Mus musculus: one gene and its partner. The protein of the gene in region 1 interacts with the protein of each later gene in a biochemical or structural test. Links are inferred from orthologs where the notes say so. Each region holds a gene or a part of one and is shown on either strand. Other genes may lie near its edges. The genes, in order: Mc4r and Pomc.

Region 1 (4,388 bases):
CATTCATTGCACTTTGATACGGATTTGCACATGGATGCCCTCAGTGTGTCTCAGGCTTGTAATTAATAGGTGGAACATTCAGGTTTTAATTCAGATGCACTGCTATGCATTGTCTCTGCCTATGCGCATTGGGAGACACTATCAATTGAATCACAGGAAAGTTGGCCTCTAGTCATAGGCCTAATGTAGATTTTTATCCCTTTTATTTCAAAGTATACACAGACTAGAAAGCATAGATTTGGTTGCTCAGTGGCCACACCTTTGGTATTAGTTTGGAGAAAACAAGCATTCCCCATCCCAAGACATGACTAAGAACAGCAGGGTGTTTTACTGTACCTTCCAGGACCCCATTTGTGTTCTCTTTCCATCTCGTTATGTGCAAGCACCACAGGGCTCCACACTTTAGATATTTACAAACCCTGTCCCAAAATGTTTTGTGATGTGGATTTGGCTTGGGAATTAAATCACTTGATCTTCAGCACTTATATTCCAGCTCAAAAAGTAATCAGAAAGTGAACAACAAGTCCCCCGCCACATGAAAGATAGCACAACTCACTATTAACTCTAAGATGAAATGAACGCTGGACCTCTAAGTGCAGAGGGAGCTGTTCTAGACCTTTCTGTAGGAACCAGATCCCTGGTAAGAAGCCAGAAAGAAATCATTCTGTTATGGTGGGGTATCATTTGGCATAGGAAATTTCAGCATGGTGTGGACAGTTTATATTTAACAGGACACTTTAATCTATTAAGATTGGTATCTATTTTATCTATTAATCTATTTTATCTATTATTATCTATTATAATATCTTTAATCTATTAAGTGGGCATTTCCCCTACCACAGCTGACTTGCCTGTGTGAACTCTGAGTCTCGGGCAATGAACCATTCCTTCTTGGAGAAATGCATGTGACAGAAATCTCACTTTCTCCTCAGTAGCTGCTTCTTCCCCCTTTCTCTTTCCTTTACTTAAAAAGAAGCATCAGTGTATTTGGACAGCAAGGATAATAGGCAAGCTTTTATTCGATTGCTCGAAATTTCACTAAGAGAGCTGACTCATTTTAATGATCAAGCATGTAGTGTTTAAATATTTCCCCATAAACAGTGGGGTCAGTGCCTCTGCAGTACTGTGGGGCTAATACATGAGAACAGCTGAGAACACGTTTAATAAGGTTCTGATTTCGGCCACTACAGAAAGAACAAGTGTGGAACCTTGATAAATAACAGGAAAGAAACACTGTCAAAGTTTTAATAAGGGTGTCTGTTTTTCTTTCATGTCAATTCATAACGCCCACACTATATAGAACATAAATAAGCATTTTACAAACAAAAAAAATAGCGTGTCAATAAACATAACACGTTGAGACTTTTTTTTCCATGTCAAAAGTCACAAACTTACATTTATACAGTAGATATTTTCAACCAAAGCATTACACAGAAGAGGCAGCTGTTGGGAAGTACACTGCTCAGATCGGGCCAGAGTGACAAAGTCTGCAGGTATCTACCTAGTTTGCACTCTGTCCCCCACTTAATACCTGCTAGACAACTCACAGATGCCTCCCAGAGGATAGAAACAGATGATCTCTTTGAAAGTTTTCCTCAGTTCTTGACTCCGGAGGGCATAAATGAGAGGGTCGATGACGGCGTTACACATGATCAGTATGAGATACAAATTAAAATGAGACATGAAGCACACGCAGTATGGATTCTGAGGGCAAGAGATGTAGAACAGTAAATGGAGAAAGAACGGGGCCCAGCAGACAACAAAGACTCCAATCAGGATGGTCAAGGTAATCGCCCCCTTCATGTTGGTACCCTGGCGGATGGTCCCTGTGCCTGGGAGGACAGCAATCCTCTTAATGTGAAGCCTCGCCATCAGGAACATGTGGACATAGAGAGAGGCCATGAGAACTAGCATAGTGAAGAACATGGAAATGAGGCAGATGATGACAGCGCTGCTGTCCGAGTAAATGATGAAGAGGACGCCTGACACAGTGCAAGCTGCCCAGATACAACTTATGATGATCCCGACCCGCCTAACCGTCATGATGTTATGGTACTGGAGCGCGTAAAAGATAGTGAAATACCTGTCCACCGCAATGGAAAGCAGGCTGCAAATGGATGCGAGCAAGGAGCTACAGATCACAGAGTCAATGACATTATCAATGTTCACGGTGAAGCTCTGGGCATCCGTATCCGTACTGTTTAACAGGGTAATGACGATGGTTTCCGACCCATTCGAAACGCTCACCAGCATATCTGCCACAGCCAGGCTACAGATGAAAAAGTACATGGGTGAGTGCAGGTTCTTGTTCTTGGCTATCGCCACGATCACTAGAATGTTCTCCAACAGGCTTATGACACCCAGAGTCACAAACACCTCGGGGGAAACAAAAAGTTGCTCATAGCATCCTCCGTCCGGGTGGCCCTTCCCCAGCGACTCGCTGGCATTGCCGTGCAGCCCGTAGCTGCTGCGGTTCCAGAGGTGGAGGGAAGTATACATGCCATGGTGGTGGGTGGAGTTCATCTTCCTGCAGCAGCTGGATTTGAGTCCTCCTTGAACTGATCCAACCTCCTGGGTCAGGGAAGCTCCGAGTGATTCTCTCCCAGTCTGTATGCCTGTAGAAGTTGGGAGGCTGCGCTTGGCGCCTGCTAGGAGCAGGGTCAGAAGCAGCGGAACTCGCAAAGGAGTTGTTGGTCTCTTCTGGGTTCGGCTCAGATCATCGTCTCTTTAGAAGCTGGTGCTTCTGAATGCTCATTCTCGGTTGACCAGTCTGCTGTTTGCTTTTTTTTCTCTCTCTCTCAGTGCGGCTTTCACTTTAGTATTCACTCGGGGTCTTTTCAGAGTCCTTTTCCCTGAGACTCGCTGTACTGCTGGGAGCCGCGTCTGCATCTGCGCGCCCACACTCACACCGCAGCCTCTCAGAAGTTCAGCTTCCTGAGCATCTTTGTGAGCCAGAGCAGCCTAGTGCGGGCTGCTGATTTCTTATGGTTAGACGGAGGGGGGCCGGGGGGTGGGGGGTGTTCTGAATGGCTCCTCCTCTGCTTCCTTCTGACCAATCCGTATTCAGTGGTTCTGAGACATCGATCTTGCACAGATAGATTACAGCGCAGCAACCGGCTCAGTGGCTAGGGCTGCTGGGGTGGGAAGGTATCACGGGATTTTCCTTTCCAAGTTTTAAGAGAAATGACTTGATTGCTCGAGCACATTCTGAGATACTCCTGAAATCCTCGGGAATCAGCCAGGCTCTTTCCTCCTTGAGACTGAACTCATGCGTGATTGTGGATAAAAAAAAGAAATGAAAAGCAGCTGTCCTGGCTCCCGAAGCAGGCGCTGCCCCTCTGCCCAGGATGCCCCCCTGAATGACGGAAGGCTCAGTTTGAAAGACTAGAAATGCAGGCAGTAATTTAATTAAATAGATGAGTATGCTGTGGAGAATTACAGCAAAGCCAGAGATTAAGACCAGGTTCACTTCTTGCGTGCTGGTAGCTGTTTCTCCATTTGCAGTTTCTGCTCTAACGGCTGGAAAAGTGGTCATTCACTGTATTTTAAAAAGTTCAAGTGGCATTTGTGAAAGCGTATTGTCTGTGAACTTAGACAAATCAACAATGTGATAATATTCTGCATGGTCTGTTGTTGTTATTGTTGGTTAGGTTGGTAGGATTTTGTTGATGTTTTGTTGTTTGTTTTTTTTTTTAAAGATAGTGTTCTGGTTTTTGTTTTTTAACTTGTTTATTTTTCTTCTTCCATAGTTGGAAGCATCACAACCTGAAACTGTAAACACTTTGGCTCCGTACTTACTCAGGCTAGCTCCAGTGAGTGCACATTCATGTGTGTTGCTTTGAAGAGATGGCCACTTAGCTTTGAGCCCCGCCCCCGCCCCCATTCCCCCCCGCACCCCGTGTGTGTGTGTGTGTGTGTGTGTGTGTGTGTGTGTGTGTGTGTGTGTGTTAGAGACAATGCTAACCGTTTCTTCAGAACACTGTGCTAAGTTAGTGTTGCCATGCAACTCAGGAACTGAGTAGGACCTACTACTGAATTCTGACTAATAGTACAGGAGTTGGTACTCATTGCGTCACCTTTCTCTTGATTATACTTTTTCTCCTGTTTGGAAAATGACTGCAGAGTTTCTAGATGCTCTGTGGTGTAGAAGCCCCCTACTAAGTAACTGTGCAGAATAGAGCTCCCCCTCTAGACTCATTCCATCTTGAGCTGACCAACGACCGCAAATGCGCTAGGAACAAGGGGCAGCTTTTACTATTGTAAACTCCCAAGTGGCTCAGCTGTTACAGCAGCTGGCAGTTGTTCCCTCCAGACACTTCACTAAAGCCCTTAAGAAGGATGATTTACATATTCATGTTCCTTTTCACACTTTCTCCAATGGCGAATTA
Region 2 (4,518 bases), on another chromosome or scaffold:
CCTCATTTGGGAGGTGGGAAAGCTGATGCCCCCAAAAGATCATTTCTTTTATGTCCATGATGAAGTAAAAGTATGTTTTTCCACATTCCCACATAGCTTCTAAGTTCACTGCCTGGAGAAAGCTATAGTTCAACACTCTGTATCCAAAGGGTGAGAGTAACTAAGACAAAAGATAGGAAAGTCCTGCCTTGGTTCCTTTCGCCTAACATTTGATCATTTCCCATGAAAGGTAGGTTTGAATACAGGCAAATAAAGCCAGTCCACTTAATCAAGGTTTGATATTCTATACACAAATTGCCTGGTGACTGTCATTTTCTAGACCCTAGTAACTTTGGGAAGATTTCTCTCTAAAGCAGATTCCACTTCCCTTAAAACTATCCTGTTTTCTAAACATACACACCACACATCATAAGTCTTGTAGTCTGAAATATGTGATTTTGAAGAGGATGTCAATATTGAGGACAGAGAGATAGGCAAAAGAATGGAAAGGAAGCTGCCTCCACAGTGGAGAACGACTAAGATACTGTGGAGGAATGCAAAGCACCTCTGGGCAGATATGGAGGTCAAAAGACCAACAGGCAGGAGAGAGAGAGAGAGAGAGAGAGAGAGAGAGAGAGAGAGAGAGCAACTTTGGTCCCCTGGTGTCCAGCTCTTCCCTCACACTGCTAGGTTCTTAGCCTGTGATATCTGTTCCCCCTCACCCAAGGACCCCTAATGTCACCCTACTCTGTAAAAGTTCCCCACCAACTTTACACTCATTCTGGATTTCAGATTACCAGCTGTTAGGAAGACATTTAATTAGATTAGAAAAATTAGTTCATAGTAAGATGTAAATACCCAGGCTCATACCTTTAATCCCAGCACCCAGGAAATAGAGGCAGGAGGATCTCTGAGTTCAAGACCAGCCTGGTCTACAGAAAAAATTCCAGAACAGCTAGGGTTACACAGAAATACCCTGACCTGAAAAAAATAAAATAAAATAAAATGTAATAATTTTAAAAAAGATGTAAATGACTTAAGTGTCTGTTACCCCTGATGAACATTTGCATTTTAAGATGAATATGACAGAAAATAAAGACGGGAGCCAAACCTCTATTTTTGAAAGGGAGGATTTGGAAGTGAAAGTCTTCCTTCAAGAATCTCTTTCTCCTCTCTGCTCCACCCCTGCACCATTCTTCTAGAGCTGGTTTTTCCTGCAAGCTCTGAGTGTCTTTTTCAGAACAACCATTAGTAGGCGCTAGCAGTCATTGAACTATGTGGTCCGTACCTCAGCCTAGAAGCAACCTTGTTCACCATTGCTGGGGCTCAGGCTCAGACTGGAGCAAATTAGCTCAAAATGCTGAGATCACAAAATTCCCCCAGATAGGAAAGCATAAAAAATGATAAATAGCATGAAAACATATTAGTAAAGAAAAGTAAGATCATGCAAGTCCTCTCACTAAGTTTCCATTGTCCTGAAAGTTGTGTGACCATCTTTGAAGGAGCCACAGTTGAGATTTCAGGCCTTCAAAATTGTGCCTTCTCTTCCTAGCCCACCCACTGTGTGCTGAAATTCTTATGCCCCACTCCTAGAGCATTTTATTTGTATTTCTCCCTTTTCTTACAATGAAACAAATGTCTTATTTGTGCCTCTTTTTTTTTTTAATCAAAAGTATTGAGGGAAATGTCAAATGCTGTGCTTTTCATAGATAGGAGAGTGTCAGGTTCCAGTCATTAACATCTCTGGAAGACAGAAGGTTGTGGTTTATTCATTTTGACAGAACTGCGCTTATTAGGGCCCCAGAAAAGTCTCTGAACTCAGTAGAGCTTATATGTTCTGCTCTCAGAGTGACTGCGACAAGCTGTGTATAAATCTGAGAGGCACAGAGATGCGGCTTCATCCATACACAGTGCGTTTGCTTCAACTTCTATAAGACCCAAAGGAAACAATCTGCACTTACTTTATACATTGACAAACTTCTTTTCATTTTACTTAACTCCTTCCAGCCATTCTGTGAAAGCTTCCCATGATTTATACATGGAAAACTTGAGGGAATCTTTCTCTCCATTTGAAATGTCCTTTACCTGAGTATGGGTCCTTACAAATTGCTGCAACGCCCCCACAGTTTTATAAAGGCTTCCGAAAGTAGACGGAGTATTTCAGAACCTTGGACAGTTCCCTCCCACACCCTGTTTTTAAATCTGAGCTGGATCTTGAAGACAAGAACCTACTTACCGTCCTGTCCTATAACCCACGTAATTATCACAATGCAACCACCCCAGATCTGCTAAGATGCGCAGAGAAACGAGGGTTTGGACGTCTACAGCAACAACAAATGAACTCCACCATTAGGAGTTTATTGTGACTCGGCTTTCTCTCCCGCTATCTTTCCAACATGTTCAGTCTCCTGCCTTAAAGAAGATATACAAGTCCAAACAATCGGAAGGAGAAGCCTAAAGGGGAACTCTCCCAAAATCTCCCCAGGGGCCAGTCGGAGTCTAAGACAATCCTAAGCCTCCCAACACTTCATTCCTCCATGCGGACTCTGGGACCATCCCCAGATGGAGTCGCCAAACCACCTGCTCTCTGGAGCAGTCTGTCAACCCATCATCCGGGCTCAGCTCTCTCCCATCTCAGAAGTTTGAGAAGAGGTCAGGTCCGCTACAAACCAGAACGCCAGTCTGCTGAGGATCCCAAGGTCCGGGGTCAGAGCTCAGAGTAAGGGAGCTGTCCAGAGCTGAGACACCCTTACCTGTCGCGGAAAGGCAGCTCTCTGGGGACAAAGATGTTCAGTGGCCTCTCTTAGTCACTGCTCTTAACCTCTTTTCTCTTCCGTCGCCTCCCGTTTGGTCCCTGTCGCTCTTCTCTCTTCTTTTATACTTGCAGGGTTGGGTGGGTGAGCCTTGGACGTGACCTTCCTGGCAGCGCTTCTGCAGCGAAGGGGGGCGGCGGGCCTCGGGAGGGGGGCTTCCCGGTCCTGGCTGAGCGCAAGGCACATCTGCCTGGAAAGCGCGGAGGCTGGCGTTAGCACAGACCCGCTGAAGCGCACACCTGGCGCTGGTGGTTAGGAAGAACTTAATTAAGAATGGTGTTGAATCTCCACTTAGAACTGGACAGAGGCTTAGCGTCCCTGTGCGAGGCAGGCCTAGTTCTGAGATCTTGCAGATCGGAGTGGAATTACCTATGTGCGTCCATCTGCCTTCCTGGCATTTGGAGGTAAATATCACTAATGAGGAAGGGGATTTGTTATGTCGCAGATTTCCCCAATGATGGGAAAGTGTGATATCTTGTGAAACCAAAATCTCAGTTCCGTTTTGAGAAGGGAGACAACAGAGGCTGTCAAGAGTCACGGCCGCCCAAGGCAGGCTACCTTTTGGAGTGGGGTGTGTGCCTGCCTTGATTCCCCAATACTTATTTCAAGACAGGTGTCCTTCTGTGCCCAAACTCTAAGGGCAAGGTCATGCCAGCCTCAGACTATTAACCAAGAGGTGCAGCGCTCTGTGGTGGGCAATGGAAATGGAAGCCATCCCGGGGCTGAGCTGGCAGAATGGTCTGGGTGGGGATTGTCTGACAGCCCTCACCATGTGGCCAGGCCCAGGCATTCTGGCTTAGCTGTGAACTCACAGGCCAAAACAGAAGGAAGAACAGACCTGCAGTGGCATCTACCTGAGCCAGCACAAAGAGCAAAACTTGTGAAGAGAGCTGTGGCTGGCAGCAGGACCAGGCCTGTACCAGACCAGTCGGGGTGCCTGCCTAATCTACCAGCTGAAGGAACTTCACTCCCCAGTTAGACGCTGTTTGCTTGTCTATTTGCTTTGTTTTGTTTGGGGGATTCCAGGGCTCCTTTGAGAGTTCAGCTTTTCTGATTGGCATCCAAAAATCTTTTCCTTTTGTGCCATGAGAGAACACACCAAGCTCCCAAACAAGAGCAAGGAGTGTGTCACCTGGCTGTGGCCTCTTTCCGGAGTGACTTCCTGCTGTCCATCTTGTATCCTGGGTGTCACATACTCCCAACACTCATACTCCATGAGCACTACTTTCTGCCTCTACTTCCCTGAGTGTTTCCCGGAAGCTTAGCACCCTCTGTCCCTCCAGTGAGGTTACTCCCCATCATCTCCCAGTTCATATTAAGCCCCCTTTGGCTATTATTTCTGCCAGGAGCCTGAGAAATGATCTGTGTTCGGCAGGGAACCCCATTCTTGTCTCATCTGTATATGTAGCTTATTATACTTGAACTAATACACTTCTGTCTTCAACCTCCCATCCACCTCTGCCCTCACCGACATCAGGCTCACCAGCTCTCTAATTGTGGTGATTTTGTCTTTGTTTTCCTTTGCTTTATTGTTCTGTCTTTAGGGGGCTGCTTGCTACTGGCAGCCTCAAAGTCAAATCAAGGTAAGTTTGGGTTGGCCCATCATCTGGGCTCCTAATTATATATAGAAGAACTTGCTTTGGCCAATATGAACTGAAAAGCTTGAAAAGTTATTAAACAACATTAGGAAACACTGGTTGGGCTATAGGATGTAAAGGGGGAGGGC

What was found.
Region 2: the proteins of Mc4r (region 1) and Pomc form a complex in vitro, tested with the Homo sapiens proteins (2 studies listed by BioGRID). The link is inferred for Mus musculus from reciprocal best matches to the Homo sapiens genes MC4R and POMC.

Annotation. Positions count from the first base shown.
Region 1 is NC_000084.6:66,857,518-66,861,905, forward strand, and holds Mc4r (melanocortin receptor 4), read right to left. Parts: upstream 2,971-4,388; 5' UTR 2,524-2,970; coding exon 1,525-2,523; 3' UTR 188-1,524; downstream 1-187.
Region 2 is NC_000078.6:3,953,261-3,957,778, reverse strand, and holds the start of Pomc (pro-opiomelanocortin preproprotein), read right to left. Parts: upstream 2,835-4,518; 5' UTR 2,733-2,834; intron 2,392-2,732; exon of another isoform or gene 2,216-2,391; intron 961-2,215; exon of another isoform or gene 850-960; intron 1-849.